3 linked regions of the Arabidopsis thaliana genome follow. The protein of the gene in region 2 interacts with the protein of the main gene of each other region in a pairwise test. Each region holds a gene or a part of one and is shown on either strand. Other genes may lie near its edges.

The links. The genes of interacting proteins can lie anywhere in the genome.
Region 1: the proteins of NAC089 (region 2) and AT3G22570 interact in a two-hybrid assay, tested with the Arabidopsis thaliana proteins (one large-scale study listed by BioGRID).
Region 3: the proteins of NAC089 (region 2) and AT5G61340 interact in a two-hybrid assay, tested with the Arabidopsis thaliana proteins (one large-scale study listed by BioGRID).

What each region holds. Positions count from the first base shown.
Region 1 is NC_003074.8:7,997,101-8,002,791, forward strand, and holds AT3G22570 (Bifunctional inhibitor/lipid-transfer protein/seed storage 2S albumin superfamily protein), read right to left. Parts: upstream 4,139-5,691; 5' UTR 4,062-4,138; coding exon 3,740-4,061; intron 3,642-3,739; exon of another isoform or gene 3,003-3,641; coding exon of another isoform or gene 2,990-3,002; coding exon 2,976-2,989; coding exon of another isoform or gene 2,817-2,975; exon of another isoform or gene 2,792-2,816; coding exon of another isoform or gene 2,784-2,791; 3' UTR 2,607-2,783; downstream 1-2,606. Other genes in the region: AT3G22560 (Acyl-CoA N-acyltransferases (NAT) superfamily protein), read right to left, coding at 1,815-2,342; AT3G22565 (uncharacterized protein), read left to right, coding at 2,817-3,002; AT3G22580 (Bifunctional inhibitor/lipid-transfer protein/seed storage 2S albumin superfamily protein), read right to left, coding at 5,662-5,691. UniProt on the Arabidopsis thaliana protein: Probable lipid transfer protein.
Region 2 is NC_003076.8:7,373,636-7,381,913, forward strand, and holds NAC089 (NAC domain containing protein 89), read right to left. Parts: upstream 4,142-8,278; 5' UTR 3,864-4,141; coding exon 3,662-3,863; exon of another isoform or gene 3,482-3,661; coding exon 3,228-3,481; intron 3,062-3,227; coding exon 2,831-3,061; intron 2,745-2,830; coding exon 2,409-2,744; 3' UTR 2,204-2,408; downstream 1-2,203. Other genes in the region: AT5G22280 (peptidyl-prolyl cis-trans isomerase G), read right to left, coding at 637-891, 1,322-1,477; NIT4 (nitrilase 4), read left to right, coding at 5,766-5,928, 6,010-6,189, 7,220-7,513, 7,613-7,894, 7,981-8,129. UniProt on the Arabidopsis thaliana protein: Transcription factor involved in plant cell division.
Region 3 is NC_003076.8:24,659,073-24,664,745, reverse strand, and holds AT5G61340 (uncharacterized protein), read left to right. Parts: upstream 1-1,528; 5' UTR 1,529-1,602; coding exon 1,603-2,682; 3' UTR 2,683-3,067; downstream 3,068-5,673. Other genes in the region: AT5G61330 (rRNA processing protein-like protein), read left to right, coding at 4,411-4,426, 4,626-4,723, 4,808-5,112, 5,460-5,532, 5,665-5,673.

The DNA of each region.
Region 1 (5,691 bases), on a different chromosome or scaffold from region 2:
CACATCAAATTGTGTTACTAATTAAAGTTGCGATCTTATTTTGACAAGGGTTTTCAGTGGTTCCATCATCTTTTTTGAAACCATGACTAAAATTTATAATTTTTAAAGTATAAACATTTCCGGATTTGGCAAAAAGTTTCCATTATCTTTATGGAATTGATAACTGTTACTTGCATATATGTGTGTGCTGTGACTGTTTTCCATTATACAACTTAATGGAACAAAATTAATAAATTATTCAATAACCAATCACAGTTCGGGGACAAGAAATCAAGAATAGGTTTAAGCAGTGTTTGTTTGCAAACTTGATAATCATCAATTTAACTATAATAGTGTGAAGTCACTCATAGTGGAGAACTGATGAAGCATCATGAGTCGTGTCATGGCTCGTGAACACAATCCATCATATCATCGTGACCGTCCATGAGATCAGAATCTAATCTCTCTGTTGCTGTCAGAGAAAGGTCCCGCAATATAACCCTCTGAGTTACTAAGAGTTGGCTCCACGTGTAGTAAGTAGGGACCATATAAGCTCACATCAGCATTCACTGCTTCCTGTCGCATCATCTATCTTTTACACAGAAAGTAAAAAGATAATAAGTGAACTAAAACAAAATAAGAGAGGTAATAATGGTTATGGAATAGGCGTGACCACACGATGAATACAATTTGCAATTTAGGTTTTGGAATAACTCGTTGATTAAGAGGTTGTGTTGCTTGGTTTTTTTTATTGAAATTGTTGGAATTAAAGAAAAAACAAGTGCGTTTGTTACAAATATATGTGTTTCGATATCTTACTTATATACTGACTAATAATTTTAAGAAAAGAAACCGTAGGTATTTAGCAACCAATCTATAACGACTTATGCAAACTAAGAATACAGATATTAATCTCGCAAGAAACTATCACTTGTCGATACTTAAGGATGTCATATGTAAGATCAAAGTTGTATAATAAAATAAGCATAGAGGTGGTTGAATATGAGGTTGACACATTTAAGATTTGATAGGACAAGAATTGTAAAACATATATCAATTTGATTTTGACGACACTATGCATGACTTCTGTTCAAGATGCATGCGTGCTACTTGATACTTTCTCAAAGACTTTCATTCACACACTTTTTTTTCGCATTACTTCCTGAATAATTAAATATATGGACCGACTTTTATGTTCCAAATATTAATTGTTTTCATGTATAGTGTATGATTCATCCGACTTATATAGTGCCGAATATTTTCTGTTCTGTAATTGCTGGCGCCATGCCACTATTATTATCTATTCCTAACACATAAGTATTCTTGTTTTAGTGGTTTACAAGTTCTGATTTTTCAAAAATCTGACCGTTCAATTTCAACTTGTGAAATCTATGCGACAAAGAAGAATTTTTTCTCTCTCTCTTTTTTTTTTTTTTTTTTTTGAAATAACGGGAGTATCTTAAATCAAAAAATAAACTAATTACCGTAGCTTGTAAAAGAATGGATATATTTGCCATTAACATTTCACATTCATATATAAATTTTCGTCAATATCATTATCCAATTCATGACGTTAAGATTACTACTATAGAGATTATTTTCACGAACAAGACAGAATTCAGAGAAAGAAAGATATGTGGTTGAGTCACCGTAGACACACGACACGACTTAAACTTAATTATGACATGACAAGAACATGTAGACAACCATCATTTGTTGCCGTAATCATCTTTATCTCTTCAAACCTAACGTACGTTTGATATTGTAACATTTCAGATTACGGTAAAAACCGGATATTATTTAGTTACTTTCTCCATTATTTTTACCGTTAACTATCACACAAAACAATCATCTTTAACGTAACTATAGAGAAACATGTCTCTGATGACTCCTTTGCTAAAACCATACTTCTCAAGTAAACCCTCTTTTCGAAATCCAGCTTTCTCCAAAACCCTTTGGGACGCTTTGTTCTCCACCTCCACCACCGCTTGTAGCCTCACCACCTCCGGAAAATCCTCCAAAGCTTGTTCAACCGCCATCCTCACCGCCGCTGTGGCTATCCCCCGCCCCCAAAACTCTTTAGCGACAGCGTATGCGAGGTCGGCTCGGCACCGACCATCACCGGAGTCTGGCTTGACGGATACGTAACCAATCGAATGACCGTCTTGGAGGAGAGAGATGGAACGGCGCCATGGGTGTGGTATAGCCTTGTTTAAGATGTGTTGTTTAGCTTCTTCTAAGGAGTTAACGGAGTCCCAACGGAGGTAACGTGTGACGTCATCGTCACCGGCCCATTTAAAGACGTCTTCTGCATCGGAGAGATTGAACGGCCGGAGGAAGATTCTTGGTGATTCCATGATCATGTAAAATTTTGTTAGTTTTATAAATCTCTTACTATAATCTAATAATATACACAAAAAATGCAACAAATGTAAATATTTGGAAGTGATGATTCTATTAGGATTGAAAGGCCCATTAATGATTTGGGCCTATTCTTATCGGTTAATGATGGGTCTCAGATTTAGAACTTAAATCCAAATTATAACAGAGAGTAACGCTTTTGAATTTTGATTACCTCTTATAGGCTTTTTCAAATGTAGAAAGGGATGGAGTGTAACTCCTATATACCAGGAATGAGAAAGTGAGAAAGCTGGCTCCTTAACACAATGAAGACCACATTATTGACACAACTGAAACAAAGACTCGTTCAACACAATATATTGTGACACACGCTCGGTTAGATGTCCTCCTAAACCCGTTATGCATCTCCTGCAACTCCATCACCTTACTGGTACATTTTTCAATCAATTTCCTGTAACATAAATTCACGATATATTATGGATGCATCAGATAACATAAAGACTACGTACTACGGTACTAGGATGATCTTTCTTCATACCGTTATTACACTGAATGACAAGAAAAGTGTCACCGTACCAAAACAAATTACTGGCAGACGAAGAACTTGTGTTTGGTTAACATTGATGATACCGAGATTAGAACCTCCACTCTTGAGGAATTGACAAAACAGTCAACAAAGGTATGAGCTATATTTAGTCAGGTAGCCGAAACAAGTCTAAATGGTATGTTAATGCATCAAGTTAAATGAAAACAAGGAGGTAAATCATTAAAAACACAACACATTACTTTTCATTTTGCATGCATTCGTTGAAATTTTGTGCTTCTTATATCTACTAACGTCAAGAGCTTATCTCACATTAGGTCTCAATGTTTCATAACGATAGATTATTGCTTTGTCCCATAAAATGATAAAATTCTTTTTATAATATAGGATTTTATAAAGTTGACATAAGTTATTTGTTTCCTTTTGGATATCTGTTTTGTGCATACTATATCTATGGCTCTTGAGTTTGAACCCGAAACATTTAGTTTACCATCTCCTTCCCATGTCTCAGATTTGGATTTGTGGCTTTTCTTTAGACAATTAAGATTGCCTTTTTGTGGCTTTTTAATAATCTTAAATAGAATGTACAAAGAGATGGAGTTGTAACTCCTACAAACCAGGAATGGGAAAGTGGCAAAGCTGGCTCCTTAATTTAACACAAGGAAAGGAAGACCATGTCTTTCGTTATTGACTCAACTGAAACAAAGACTCTATCAATTCAAATACTTTCGGTTACGGACAACGCCATCACCAACTGGTACACAGATTTTTCAATCAATTTCATGGACATAACATAAATTCGCGAAGAGTGAAGATTGGTGTTTATTCATAAACTAGTGTTTTTGAAATTCTTACCGTTGCCACAGGCACCATAAACGCCACAAAGCTCTGGCAGATCAAGAAGTTTTTGGGAAACAACGATACCGAAGCTAGGGCCTCCATTGTTGATGAATTGACAAAAGCAGTCAACATATGTCTTGCCTACTGTATACACCTCAGAACAACACGCGAAACTAGGAGTATGGATACGATTATCAGTTAGGTAGGGGAAACAATTCAACTGCATCTGCCCTGTCTCTTTCAAGCACTCGTCCTCGTCCGACTGAGCAGAGACGCTTGTAGAAGACATCACAACCACGAAAACTGTAAGCAACACTAAAACCACTCCTATCTTCATGTTTCCTTGATGAAATACGTGGTTGGAGAAGAATCTTTTGAGTTTTGTTATGATCTTTTCAGATTCGTTTGGTTTTTCAGAGTCTTGCTAGCTAATTGGTACTATATATAATATAATACTGTGTGTTTTGTGTTCAATTTTGTTTTATAATATGAACAATTAGCTGTTATTTTTCCTTGACTTAACCAACAGCCAACTTGTAGCCATTATTAAATAATAATTTAAATACAATACAGTTCGTATTACTATAATTTTTAATGTCAATTTTGTTTGGTTTTGGCTACAAAGTGGACATCATCTTAACCACGTCTTGTAATACATTTTTTATATTCATCAGCATCATTCTATATAACAATACAATATGTTTCGCAATGTTATTTTGTATGTTATTTGGTTTGATTAAGGAACATGAGATGATTATTGTATAATATAACGTGTTTTGTATTATTTATTTTTTTGTTTGACAAAATGAATGCTGCTGATGAATAAAAAAACGTATTATCATCTCCTCATGTTCGTTTATGCCTGATTGTTTTGTCATGTCCGAGAGCCTATTTTTAATTTTGGCTATTACTTTTGATCCGCTATTCCGTTTGATCCGAAATCACCACCGTTGGAACAGCCAATTCAATTTCCTATGACTTTGATGAAGGGCTCGAAAACAATATCACAAAGGAAAGTCTTCATATGACGTGATCTTTCAAGTACTTCATATTGATTATGGATAATATCATATCATCTCTCTTGTTCTTTCCTTCATATTCCGTCATTGTTTGGTCTTTTAAGAACCAAATATCCTCTAAAACCTCTCTTCTTTATGGTTCTCACTCCAACACCTAAAATGGATGAACTCAATGCAAAGGCTATCTTGAAGAAGTCTAAATGGTGTGTTAATGCATCAAGATAATGAAAACAAGGGGATAAAATCATTAAAAACATTCATTGCATACATTCCTTGAAAGTTTTTATTCTTCTTATATCTAACTTCAAGAGCTTATCTCACATTAGGTCTTTATGTTTCATAACGATAGATTGTTTGCTTTGTTTCCTTTTGGATATCGTTTTGTAGTACTATCTCCGGCTCTTGAGTTTGAACCCAAAACATTTCGATTACTACCTTCTCAAATTGTGTTATGGAAGTTAATGATTATTGTAAACGGTAAAAAGATCTCCGTTGGTACAAAGAAATATCACTTTAGGGAGTAAGAAATCATACAGCATAAATTACATCGCACAAAATAGAGAGTAACTTTTCTTTGGGCAATTAAAATTGCCTCTTTTTGGCTTTTTCACTATCTTGAATAGAATGTACAAAGAGAGGGAGTTGTAACTCCTATAAACCAGGAATGAGAAAGTTAAAAAGCTGGCTCCTTAACCCAATGAAGACACACATTATTGACACAACTGAAACAAAGACTCGTTCAACACAATAAACACAAACAACGATTACATCAGTTCAAATACTTTCGGTTTGTGACACACGCTAGGTTTGATGTCCTCCTAACCAGTTCTCCATCTCATGCAACTCCATCACCCTACTATTATATTTTTCAATCCATCTCCTGTAACATAAATTCACTATATACATAAAGACTACATACTATAGGATTGGTGTTTCTTCATAAATTGA
Region 2 (8,278 bases):
GATAGCTTGACGGCTAGACGCACGGCCAACAAATGATAGAAAGATTGACCAAAAACAGATGAATGGCTTTTGACTGTTAATATTATTGACTTTTAGAATGCCAAATAGTAAAATGGAAGAATAATAAATGAGTATGTGAAAATTCATGGGAGATTTGGTTTTGTTTGACTTAGAACAAATATGGAGTTGTGGTTGGTGTCTAATAAGAGATTTATTTAGGCTCTGACTAGTGATGAAATCATGGAAAGAATATGACATAAGATTGCTTTTGTCATCTTAGACTTTCGTTAGCCTCATCAGTCAAAGTAAAAATCTAACTACACACAACCAAAGTTTGACTATACCAAGACATCGACAATGATAGAATCAATCAACCATAACTAAAGATATTACAAGTACCCTAATTCTCAACTTTTATTACAAGTACTTAAATATCTCAATCTTACACGTGAATAAAGTAAATCATCCTTCTAATCAAAACATCAGCAAGGTTTTTAACACAACAAAAGTAAATTACAACAGTTTTTACGTACCATTTGGGTTATTTATTAGAATTGATGTAACCGGAGGAAATACTAGTCTTCCACGATGTGTTTCCTCTCGAGCTCAATGAACTGTTTGTTATTATGGGAGGTTTCAGTGGCGTTTCGTGTCTCGTTCTCTCCTTTGCATCGCTGTAACTGCATTTGAAGACTTCGTACAAGGTCGTTTAGCCTCTGGATATGTCTCTCTTGTGACAAGATGATCTGTAACGATTAACAAACTAAGAATTGACAGGTCTTCTTCTATTTTCAGGTTCAAAATTATGCTGAAGTTATGAGGTTCGTCATACATCCAATGGAACTTTAAGGTTGCAAGACCAATAAGTCTATGTTTCTCCACTAACCTCATCTATTTGATGCAATCAGGGAAAACACAACAGAAGGCAAAAAAACCCCGAATATTTCTATGCAACATTAAAAACTCAGATCAGTCATTGATGGATTCCATAGACATTCTCAAAAAGAAGAAGATAGAGATATGAAAGCCAGTTACAAAGAATGTTTGTCCAGAGACTCATGAGACTAGAATGTCGAGGATAAAGTCAACAACACAACTACTAAGGCATAGTTATAGATTGACTCAAAAGGCAAGTGAAGCAGATATAGGAATCTTAAGCATCAGAGCATTCTAAGTTAACTGACACTATCCAATTATGCATATCTCTGCTACAGTTGTACTAATCTATAAGTCACAATCCCAAAACGAATTCTCAGGTCTTTCTCATACAACTGAACACACAAAACTTCAATGAAAAAGAGTTTAAGAATGAAGTAAGTACCTTCTCCTTGACAGCTTCTTCCCTCTTTGCAATTTGCTGATGTTTCTGAGACAAGCTAGGAGCTGCATCAAGCTCAAGAAGTGGTTGCCTCCATTCAAACTGAGAAGTGACTATAAGTATAACCAGAAGAAAGACTAGCATGATCGGCCTCGACATTTTCTATTCAGCTCTTACAAAACCTGTTCCAAATTTCACAATCAATCCATTTCATACCATCCTAAACACACATCCAAAGACCACGCCTAATCGAATTGAGACATATATCGAAAATGAGATCGATGCGACTTAAAATTCACCTACTCACTTCAAATTTTCTAATTAAAAACCAAAAGTAGAACAATGTAAACAGTGTAAGCTGATACTATAAAAAGCAACTCCATCAAATCAATGACCTAGGGTTTCAATACGAATCTCCTTCATATGTAACTAACTTACTAAGGATAAGCAAATAACACATACTACAGAAAAACTGAATTTCCTCAGCACAACAAAGCAAAATTGAAGCATCGTAGAAGATATAACGAAGACGATTAAGTATCTCCAACTTACAGATCGATTTATCACAGTGAAATCAAACTTCATTATCGAATCATCAGCTTTTCTAGGGTTTCTTAAACCGGAAAAATTGACGAAACTGATCGAGATCAATAAAATCGGCTTGACGGAGTATTGAGGAAACTTGACTTCTCCAAAATGGGTTCTCGTATAGAAGAAGAGAGAAAGAAACAAAAGCAGAGGTTTAATGGCGGCGAGAAAATTCTACAAATCTTAGTGCAACAACCATCTGGACGAGAAAGATAAACAGTACGGATTTGGAAAATAGTCATTTACTAATTTGCCCCCATCATTTATCCATTCTCTGATTCTCATTAAACACACCACTTAATAAGCCTTGAAGTGTAAAAACTATATCCACTAGTTCTTCTGTGCTTGATATTTCAGGTTTTGATTTGGTTGCACAGATTTGAAGTAGAAGTGTAAAACATAAACCGTTTACACAAAAACATCATATAATCCTTGTCAATGTCCGAGAAAAGATGATACAAACATAGCTAGGACACTGTTTTTCGCTACTTCCATAAGCCTCTTATTCTAGATAAAACAACATTGCTATCAGAGCCACTACACCTATAATAACATCCCATCGTGCCTTGTTCACTGATTTGATCGAGTATAAACCCACGAAGCAGCTCGACAATGATTCCGTGGCGTCTTTTCCTTTCTTCTTCTGTGATGGTCTTTCCTCTAACAGTGATGACATTTGTTTGTCTATCATGTTTGGTAAAGGAAGTACCCTTATCTCCATTGATGCTGATTCTAGTGTTGGCACTTCGTTTGGTGTGTTCCCTGTCATCACCGCTTCATCGAGATTGATGATTTCGTCTCTTAGGATATCCGCAAAGAAATCCTCGTCATTATCCACCTAAACCACACACACATAACATTCATTAAGAAGAACGACAACAATCAAGAACCATCATACAACAATTAGAAGCCAGGTGACAAAACCTGTAGATTTTCTGATGACTCTGCCATCTCAGCGAGTAGTTTCTCCCCTGATTCACCTGCTAGGTAAAAATCAACCAAGTTGTCCCAATCAGACGGGCTCCCTGAACTCGTAGCGCCATTTTGGACTTTCGCATGCTTCTCGGCTGATGAATTTGGCTTTGGTGCCTTCTGACTTGTACCACTATTGTATTCTTTGTTCCTCCTAACCCGGCAAACAACCATAGCATCATCCTAGAATTTACATAAACATAATCAATCAACTCAAGCCAAAGACAAAACTCCTAAAATTTTACTGTATTCCTCTTAGAGACTCAAAAAGTAGCCAAAGTCACCACCTCTTATGTAATGGTTAACAATTAATCTATAAGAAAAAACAAACTCTCGAGAACAGTTTTACCAGAGATACTCCTTTCACGCAGTACTCGTGCATAATCCAGTCAGTTCTTTCGCCTTTTGGTGCACGACCAATATGGAAAACAAGCGTCCTCTTTGTTCCAATGACCTCAGAACCAGACTTCACATCACGCTCTTTCCCAGTTGCTTTCCAGTATCCCATCTTCGTTGCTCTCCTGTTCTGTGAACCATGTGGATACTTTTTCCCACGCGCACAGAAGAAGAACCACTCGCTATCAGATTTCACAATCGACTTATCTGCAAAGAACAAACACACAAAAAAAATTGTCAATTCCAATCCAAGAGCCAAAAAATAGAAACTTTATATCTTAGGCACCCAAAATAGAGATCTCTCCTGAAGCCTGAAGAACAACAAAATCAAATTCCAAGTAGAAGAAAGACACAAAAGAATCAATTGGTTCGAATTCGAAGACAAACCGGGTAAATCCCAAGGCTCGAAATTGTAAATCTCAAGGTCCGGTATAACCTCAACGGACCTCTCCAAGCCATCCATCTTCCGCTTCAGGTAATACGAAATCAACTCCACATCCGTCGGCGAGAATTTAAACCCAGGAAACACCGTCGACGCTTCCATCGACGCCGCCGTATCCTTAGAAACTCCAACCGCCTTCGTGTCCATGAAGGCTCGCGCGTATACAACAGTCGCCACAAAAAGAGCGCGTAAGAAATCGGCCACCGCCCAAAGAGTAAAATCCGGGAATTTTCGATAACCTGAAGGATTTTTCTTCTCAGTGTGGTCTCTTCTCACTTGCTCAGGGAGCTTTTGAATTGTTATTGGAACACTTCACAGGTGCACACATATGGGTTTTTGCATACGTGTTGCCAAGGCATTGCTTAATCTACGTGTGCATGCCACGTCACTAAACCTAGTTATATTATAGGTTTTATTTCATTTAGACCCTTAATGTTTTTACGTACTCCCAATTTACGACTTATTGTTTAGTGTTTTCAGATAAAGTCCCAATATATATCCGAAATCTTACTATCGATCAATCGCTCACAATTATATATCCCAAAATATCTTGTTCAGGATCTCGTAATCAACAAGCGTTACCTCAAAGTTTTTGTTGATTTGAAGCTTAAGGGTTAACCACTTATCATTACAAGAAAACTTATCCTTCTTGATGGATTTCAACTGCTCCACAAGACTTTCCATATAGTTAAGTTTAATCAAAAACTCATGTTCAAAAAAGCTAAACAAGAAAGGTGAATTTTCGCAAATCTCCCTCCGTAAAACCTCGTACGTCTTCGAAATAGTATTAGTAGTAAAATCTGTGGACTATGTTTCTGTGTCAAGGTACGACAGGGAAAACGAAATGTATGAGTGAACTTTATTGTTGTTTCCATGATGAAATGGGGTTACAAATTACGATCAAATTATACTCAAATCATTATTTGTAAAAAAACTAAAGTGATATTAACGTGGTTAACTCTGTTCTGTTAATTTTTTTGGTGATGTGAATCCAAAAATTACTTTGAAAGTTTCTCGTACAATTAAAAGTTTAAAGTTGATGATGAACGGAAACTATAAACAATCATAACAAGAAATTCTCCAAATTATTTCAGCAACAAATTTATATTTTGTCAAGATCAACAATGATCGATAACGATAATATGATTTAAGAGTTTTTTCATACCAAAACTCTTTAGAATTAAAAATCCTCCTTTCATAGGCCTTTGAACTAAAAAATAGAACTCTTCAACAATATTTTAGTCAAAAGCTAATGATACGTGAAAGAGTTCGATACCTTTTATAACACCATCCAAGGATATAGATCAAGTCTAAAACTAAGAAAAGAGATAAACATCTAATCTTCTAATCCTCATACCTTCGAAAAGTAAACAATAATTAATATTGAATGCTAACAAGTAACAACCAAAATATATAAACAAACGCTTTGTTTGGTTTTTAAGGTTGGTTTGTTATCGAGGGGGTATTTTATCTTTTGAATTTTGTAAAAAATCTATAAATATAGGTGATGATTTTAGAAAAAAATGAGGATTTTTTTACACATTTTGGCATTTCCCCCTACAGTTAAAAAGAGAGTAAAAATCAAAATATATATCATGTGTTGTACAAGTAAACACCTACCAACCAAGCCCATCAAGAAGATACTACTACTAGAATCACTCATTTCCTCTATATATCTTATTGGTGACAAACTGACCAGTCACCAATAAATGTCTCTAGTCACGGCGGCTCCTCCGGTCAACATCGATCAAATCTTTCCCGTGGTTGACGTATACACTTGCGATTCTTCCTCCATCGTACAATATGCATGCATATAAATACCAATATAGGTGATGGTTATTGTAAATGTTTTTAGAGAAAATGAGGATTTTTTAAACCCATTTTTCCCTTCACTAAAAAAGAATCGACACACAAAAAGAGAGAGTTTATAAAATACACGATAATATCAAAGTTAAACACACACCAACCAAGTAAACAAGATACAACACAATTGGAATCTTTCTTCTTTGACAAAAAAAAAAGGAATCTCTCTCTTTCTCTGATTCTCTCATGTCCATGCAACAAGAAACGTCTCACATGACGGCGGCTCCACAGACCAACGGCCATCAAATCTTCCCTGAGATTGACATGTCCGCCGGCGATTCCTCCTCCATCGTACGAGCTACAGTCGTCCAAGCCTCTACAGTCTTCTACGATACTCCCGCCACGCTAGGTTCGTTCCTGTTTTCTCGATTTTTGATTCACTATGGTTGGTGAGATCGCTTTCGATGCCTTATCCACGAAATTTTGTCAGATAAGGCAGAGAGACTGCTTTCTGAGGCAGCGGAGAATGGATCTCAGCTAGTGGTGTTCCCGGAGGCTTTCATCGGTGGATATCCACGTGGCTCTACCTTTGAATTGGCTATTGGTTCTCGTACCGCTAAAGGACGAGATGACTTTCGCAAGTACCATGCTTCTGCCATTGATGTTCCTGGTAATAAAGTCCTCCACCATATCTCCGATTATGTTCTCACTTTTTTTCTTTCGATTTTGGATCTTAGCATGAATACCAGGGCACGCACTTATTACCACATAAATCCATTGTTCTCTAACTAGCTACCAACATAGAACAACTAGGCAACCCTCTTTTATATTCACTTAGGTCGCGTGTTCGATTCACGTTCACTGCACCATTTGATAAGTTTGAAGCTATGAACTCTTATCTTTTATCACTTCTCATTCCAAGATACAAACTCAAGAACTACCCTAACAATGGAGATTTTTTCAAGAGATCTCCTAACTCTCCTCCATAAAACCATACGTTTGTTAAAAACACATCAATACATGCATAACTTCATCAATTCTCTTGACAAGAGGTTACAAAATCTGTTTCTTCTTGCTCTGTTTTAACTCCTTTTCACATGACTTCTATGCTTCTCTTTGCTTATTCACGTGTCTCATAACCTCCTTTTCAGCTACCACACGTATCTCCTAGCTTATCACACTTAAGATCTAATAAATTCTCACCAAAGCCGTCTTTAAAACAGCTTCTGTTCTACTACGACACTGTAACAGAAACTGCAACAAACAACCAAGGTGGTTCTTGTTTTTTTTTGGTATCAAGGTGGTTCTTGTTGCTTTGAGGGAGATGCCTCTTCCTTCTTACATGAGAGCTTGTAGCATCACCAAGATCTGACCAGTTCATCAAGAGACGTAGCTTGGTTGCTCCACCCGTGACTCCACAACAAGCTTCATTCAAGGGAGGCACAGATGCTCCAAGAGTAAGAAGTTGTAGATAAGATCATTTCAGCAACAGTCACATGGGCTTAACTTATGAAAGGCCCAGTGACTTGGGCTTTCACATGGGTCAATCTCATAGCCAATAAACCCAACAATTGTTAGTGTGATCATCTACTAACAATTGAGTGTTTCAGTCTCTACTAGTTATAGTGTTTCTTGAATCACCAAGTGTGTGTAAACTGTAAATTACATTCTACTTATTCATCTGTGCCATCTTGTGTTAGGCCCTGAAGTGGAACGATTAGCGTTAATGGCCAAGAAGTACAAAGTATACTTGGTTATGGGTGTGATAGAGAGGGAAGGCTACACGCTATACTGCACCGTTCTTTTCTTCGATTCACAAGGTCTGTTCTTAGGTAAGCACCGCAAACTCATGCCTACAGCTCTTGAACGTTGCATTTGGGGATTTGGAGATGGATCAACCATCCCTGTGTTCGATACTCCTATTGGGAAAATCGGTGCTGCTATTTGTTGGGAAAATAGGATGCCTTCTTTGAGAACCGCAATGTATGCCAAAGGTTAGTCTCTCTTTAGCTTCTACAAAGGGACAATGTATCAGTATGTTGCTTGTGATTTGATCATGTTGGTGTGTTACACTGTTGTGTTTTTTTTTGTAGGCATTGAGATTTATTGTGCACCTACTGCTGATTCAAGAGAAACTTGGCTAGCATCAATGACTCATATTGCACTTGAGGGTGGATGTTTTGTTTTGTCAGCTAACCAGTTTTGTCGTCGGAAAGACTATCCTTCTCCGCCGGAATACATGTTTTCCGGTTCAGAAGAGAGCCTAACACCGGACTCTGTTGTCTGCGCTGGTGGAAGCTCTATCATTTCACCTTTGGGAATTGTTTTAGCTGGACCAAACTATAGAGGAGAAGCTCTTATCACAGCTGATCTAGGTATATTATTAATTAACATTTGTTAATCATCATCATTCATTCTTGAACAAAAAGTTAACTAATCATATCCTATAAATCTCTAACAGATCTTGGGGACATAGCACGAGCCAAGTTTGATTTTGATGTGGTCGGACATTACTCGAGGCCTGAAGTGTTTAGCTTGAACATAAGGGAGCATCCGAGAAAAGCGGTCAGCTTCAAGACGTCAAAGGTAATGGAAGATGAATCCGTCTAACAAATGATCATTTGTTAGACCCAAACTTTCTCTGTAATTTGATGAAGTTTATCTGTAGTAAACTTCAAGACTTGTGTTGTAATTGAAATCGATAAAAAATCTAAACCGTTAGATTGAGTGTTGTCTTCTATTCCTCGTTTATACTATGC
Region 3 (5,673 bases), about 17 Mb from region 2:
ACGTTCAACAGTCATGGTCGACGCCAAAATATCAATTATTATTGATGGACATATACTTTTCTCTAACATTACATAATCTTTGTATAAACTAAAGAAAATAGAATGAATATTCGTAAGAGACCTTCAGTAGATATCACATATAAAAAATGTTTTGAGTCTATGTTCTTGCTTTTACACATATGTACGGTCGAGTTCCTTTTTGTTGGAGTAGCTTAGAATCAAACATTATAGCTCACTTTATAAAATGGTTATAACTCCAATTATTAGTAGACTAATACCTAATTACAAGTAGACTTTATACCTATAACTATTAAGATTATTCCATTTAAGATTTTAGCAAGCTTTTTCTAGATTTATTTCTCCATGGACTATATGTAGATTTATATAAAACAAGAAGATGTGTTACCTGGTAAACGTTAAACCATTCAACTAAAAATAGATATGAAAATAAAATTGCAAATTTCCAGGTGTATTTTCTCGTTGATTTTGTTCGTCTAATGGAAACTCAATAATAATGGTTCACGCTTAAACTATTACCATATGCCATTAATTAAAGTATATTATTGCGAGTGGATATATTTCTATATATAAGAAAATCAGAAATTTCAAACAAGGAAATGGAGAACTCCCTAACCACCAAGTCCAAGTCAATAAGACTGCACACCAAATGCATGCCACAGGTTGGACAAAGTTTGATGATTTCTTCTATCTAATTTCCATTTTCTCTTGATTATTTTAAAATAAATTATTAACTTGGTTAACATATTATTGTATTGGTACAAGAACACAATTGGTAATTAATAAGTATTCAAGTGTTCTAGGATAGAGTTTTTTTTTAAACATTCTTATTTTTCATTAAAGCTAAACTTAGTAGGTTTGGTAAGCATATATATGATCAAGTCGCCTCAAGAAAAGTTAATAGAGTTTGGAATTTTCTCACTCAAAAATCATTTTTGTTGTTTACATTATGATCAAAAGCATAACAAGAGTACCATTTTTACCAATATAAATTTGGTTATTAAAAACTTTACTCTTTTGAGCTCTTATCATTATTCAATTTCTTGAAAGCTAAGCCTCCAGTTTCCTCAAACCTATCATTATTAAGCTTTCAATTGAATACTAATACATGACTCACTCTGTCACAATTTAATATATATATATATACACAAACACACATATATATATATACAATGGAGTGTATAGTAAGCATCCAAAACCAATTAAATCACTAAGCATATCACACAAGTAAAAGACTTTTCTAGAATATATGTATAAAAATTAAATCACGAAAAGGAAATTCATTTATCCTAACAACATTACCTACGAAGCAAATCTATATTATACCCAATAAAACCTAACAAGGAGGTGTTATGTATTATTTTACTCACACGAAAGATTCTATTCCATGCAAAAAACTTTGCTTCACAAAGAAAAAGAAGAGTTTTAATTTGATTAGTTTGTCTAAACAACTCCTCATCTTCAGGCAAAATCGGTTGGCCTATCTCCATTCTCTTCTCTAACACCCAACCCACAATTAAATTTTAGCAAAAAAATATATAAATAATATAAAAATCATTACATATTTTATATACATATATATAGATGACCTGCATTGAGAAAACCCTTTCAAGATTTGGTGGATCATTCAAGAAACACACATATTCAAACTTCTCCAAAGAAAAGAAAATAGCAAAAACTAGAATGAAGAAGACAATGGAGGATCCAAGCAAGATCATGAGAAGGTCAATTCACACTTTCCTCCAAAACTACCACCGTGTCACCACCGCAGCCGCCGTGGCCCTCCCTTTCTCCGCCGGTCTCCTCCTCTCTCAGCCTTTCTTCTCTTCTTCCTCTTCCACCCTTCACATGAGGCTTAACATGCTCTTCCGCGGAGCGGGTTTCTCTTCTTCTCATGACTTCTTCAACATCTTAAGCCTTAAACTCTCACAAACCCTATCTTCCTCTTTATTCACTCTTCCTTTCTCCCTCACATTCCTCCTTTTATCCAAAGCTTACGTCATCAAACTTCTATCAAACAATCACTCTGCAGATTCCTCCTCTGTTTTCTACCTCCGGCTTCTCAAAACTTACGTTTGCAACTTCTTCTTCCTTCTCTCTGCAAACGCCTCTGCTTTTGCTCTGTTTTTCTTAGCATACAATACCCTTGAAGCCTTTGGATTCTCTTCAAGAAACTTCTACACTTTCCTCTCCCTATCCTCAGCAATCATCTACTCAATTATCATCGCAAACGCCTTTGTCATCTCTAATCTAGCCTTGGTTTCATCACCTTCTTCTTCCTCGGGAGGATACACAAACATCCTCAAGGCGTGTCTTCTGATTCGCGGAAGAAATTCAACAGCAATGGCTCTTGCTCTGCCTACCAATCTCGGCTTAGCAGGAGTCGAAGCCTTGTTTCAGTACCGAGTCATGAGATCTTATTACAATGGAGACAGAGATATCATATCCATAGCTCTTGAAGGAACCTTCATAGCTTACTTATACGCTCTCTTCTTGGTTCTTGACACCATAGTCAACTTCCTCTTTTACCAGAGCTGCATCAAAAACGAGGAAGATCAAAATATCGGTAGAGAAGACGAGTATTCAATCAAGATCCAAATCAGCGAAACAGAGAACACAAAGATACACATCAAAGGATCAAAGAACTTGCAAGAAATCTTGTGACTCTCTTGTGTTGGTTGATGTAATTATTACTTATACAAAAAAAGTGAAAAACTTTATGAGATTATTGATTCTTTAAGGATAATCTCAAGTAGCTTTCACTTCAAAGAAGAGCAAAGGTACACACACAGTAAAGAACAATCACAGGATCTGCAAAACTTTTTCTTCTTCCTCTGTTTCTGCTTTTCTTTATTTTAGTCTCTTTTTTTTCCACATTGTAAAGTCAAATATACCAGAAATTTTAATTAATGCAAATCTTGGAATTCACATTTGGTTAATCCTACAGTATAATTTCATTGCCGACAAAATATATTAATTAGCAATGATTTTGATTACTTCCTTAAGTTATGAAGATGTTGACTAGATTCACACTTTAACAAGAGTGAAGAGTCTTTTGTTTTTGAGCAAGGATAAGTTCAAGCAAAATCTTTCATTACAAAGAGAGAAGAAGAAATGTCACAATTATCTTTAAATAGACGGTAGAGGCGAAAGCAATTGAACTTTTTGTATTTTTCGTTGAATGAAAATCCTAATAATACATTGAAATTGTGTTAATGATAAAAGCTCAACTTAAAAAGACAAAAAATGGCTAGTGGGTGGTCTACATCACTAATCTCTCTACTTGAACCTCTTTAACAAAAAGCCCTTTAATACAATAGTTCAGTACTACCTAAAATTTCTTCTAATGGAGAAATTATGAATGAATCTAATTTACTTTTATAGGTTAAAAAGAGTGGAATCCGGAAATGTTGCATCTAAAGAGATCAAGAAACAATTAAGCACAAAAAGATGAATTTTATAACAAGCAAAATTTTGTAGCTTTCCAAACATACAAAACAATGTAATCATTCATGGTCCATATTTAGGAATTAGGATCAAGGGTTTATAATCCCAGGTCCGACCGACCGAATCGTATAATCTGGTCCTATCAAACCAAAATTAAAACATTTAAACCGGATTTTTGGTTGAACCGGCCGGTTCATGGGTTAAGCGAAACCTCTAGGGTTTTAATATTTCCAGAGTTGGTTGAGAGCTTCTTCTTACTTTTACTTTTCCTCTGCTCGTAGACAGCTTTGTGCTTGAGACGATTCCCAGTTTCTGCGATTCCAAGTCGAAGATATAACCTCTCCTATTTGCGTCTCAGCTTCTACAGAGCTTTTAGGTAAGCTCCTCTGCTTGTATGATTCCTTTTAATTTTCAAAATTCACTGCTTTCTCTTGCGTATCTGCTCAAAGTCTCTCCCTTTTTCATTTAATCGTTTCTCTTCCTGAAACATTCGAACTCATAAACTAGTTTGATTCAAAAGTTTTCTTGCTTTAAACTTGTGTTAGCTCTAGAATGTTGTTCTTTGTAATCTGTTTGTGACATTGTGGTGGAGATGATGAATGTTAAAGTAAAAGGTCTGAGCAGGTTATGAGTAAAGTGTGTGGCTTTTGATGTTTAATTTAGTTACGAGGAGTCAATCTTTGAACTTTATAGGAGAGGGCCCTTGTCCATGTCTTGAGCCATGGCATCTGTGGCTCCGCAACCTCTCCAACAATGAACCTGATTTGTGTGTGCAATCTGATGGGTCGATTTTTAAAGGCTTGGGGTTGCTTTCTATCATTGATTGTCAATCTAGAATTCTCCCTATATACATTTGTCTCCTTGTGCTTCCTTATCACCAATTAGCTACCCTCGTGATTCTGCACTGATCAAAGACCCTTTGACTGATCCACGTGAGCTGTTTTTATGAGATTATCTATAGGTCTCTGTTTTTTTTTTTTTTTTTTTTTTTTTTTTTTTTTTTTATGTTTGAAGCTTTTGACAAAGCTTGTTTGATGGTATGGTTACCTCATTGTTGCTCTATATTTGGTCCTTCTTTATTTGTTTCAATATTTTTATTGCTTAATCCACTGTATAATAGTTTCTCCTTCCTCAATTGAGTTAGTTTTTCGTGATTGCAGCATTAAAAGTTGTTAAAATGGCTGGGGGGTCAAAGAGGTCTAAAAGAGCAAGACTTGACAGTGAATCGGAAGACATAAGCGACCAAGAAAACCTTAAGGTATGTTTATGTTGCTTTTGTCTCGTTTAAGTTATTTAGATGGTATAGGTGAATTTATTTGGTTGAGGGTTCTCTATATTATAGGCCGAAAGCGACAATGAAGATGATCAATTACCTGATGGGATAGAGGATGATGAAGTAGATAGCATGGAAGATGATGAGGGAGAGAGTGAGGAAGACGATGAAGGAGATACCGAGGAAGATGATGAAGGAGATAGCGAGGAAGATGATGAAGGAGAGAACAAGGAAGACGAGGATGGAGAAAGCGAGGACTTTGAAGATGGAAATGATAAAGAGAGTGAGAGTGGCGATGAAGGTAATGATGACAATAAAGATGCTCAGATGGAAGAGCTTGAGAAAGAGGTCAAGGAGCTTCGTTCACAAGAGCAGTAAGATTTCATTTGAACTAATCATTTTTAAATACTGTTATTTCTAAGATAGTGAATTCTTGTATGTGTTTCTTTCTAGAAACGGTAGATAGTCGTATTAAAGTTTCAACTGTTTAATCTAGATCAGCAAGGATGTTGGCTAGATTTAGAAGTAGGTTCGAACTCATTATAGCAATTGGATTTATTCGTGATTAGTAGAAAATATATACGTTTAAAAGGAAAAGAACAGACTTTTGCCAAAAGTTTTTGTCAGATACTGTCTTAATTCGGTTGCATCATTTAATTTTAAATGAACGATTGAGAGGCAAAAGAATGTTCTTTGTGTAATATGCGTGTTCCTGGTATAGGGATATATTGAAGAACTTGAAGCGTGATAAGGGTGAAGATGCTGTTAAAGGTCAAGCGGTGAAGAATCAGAAGGTATGACCTTGTTCTGCGGTTTGCGAAGTAGTCTAACTAGAAATCAGTTGCAGTTGTATATTCCTATTTTATGTTAATGAAGTTGATCTAGAGCGAATTTTTGACAATTCTTTCTTTGTGCTCTATGTAAAGGCTCTTTGG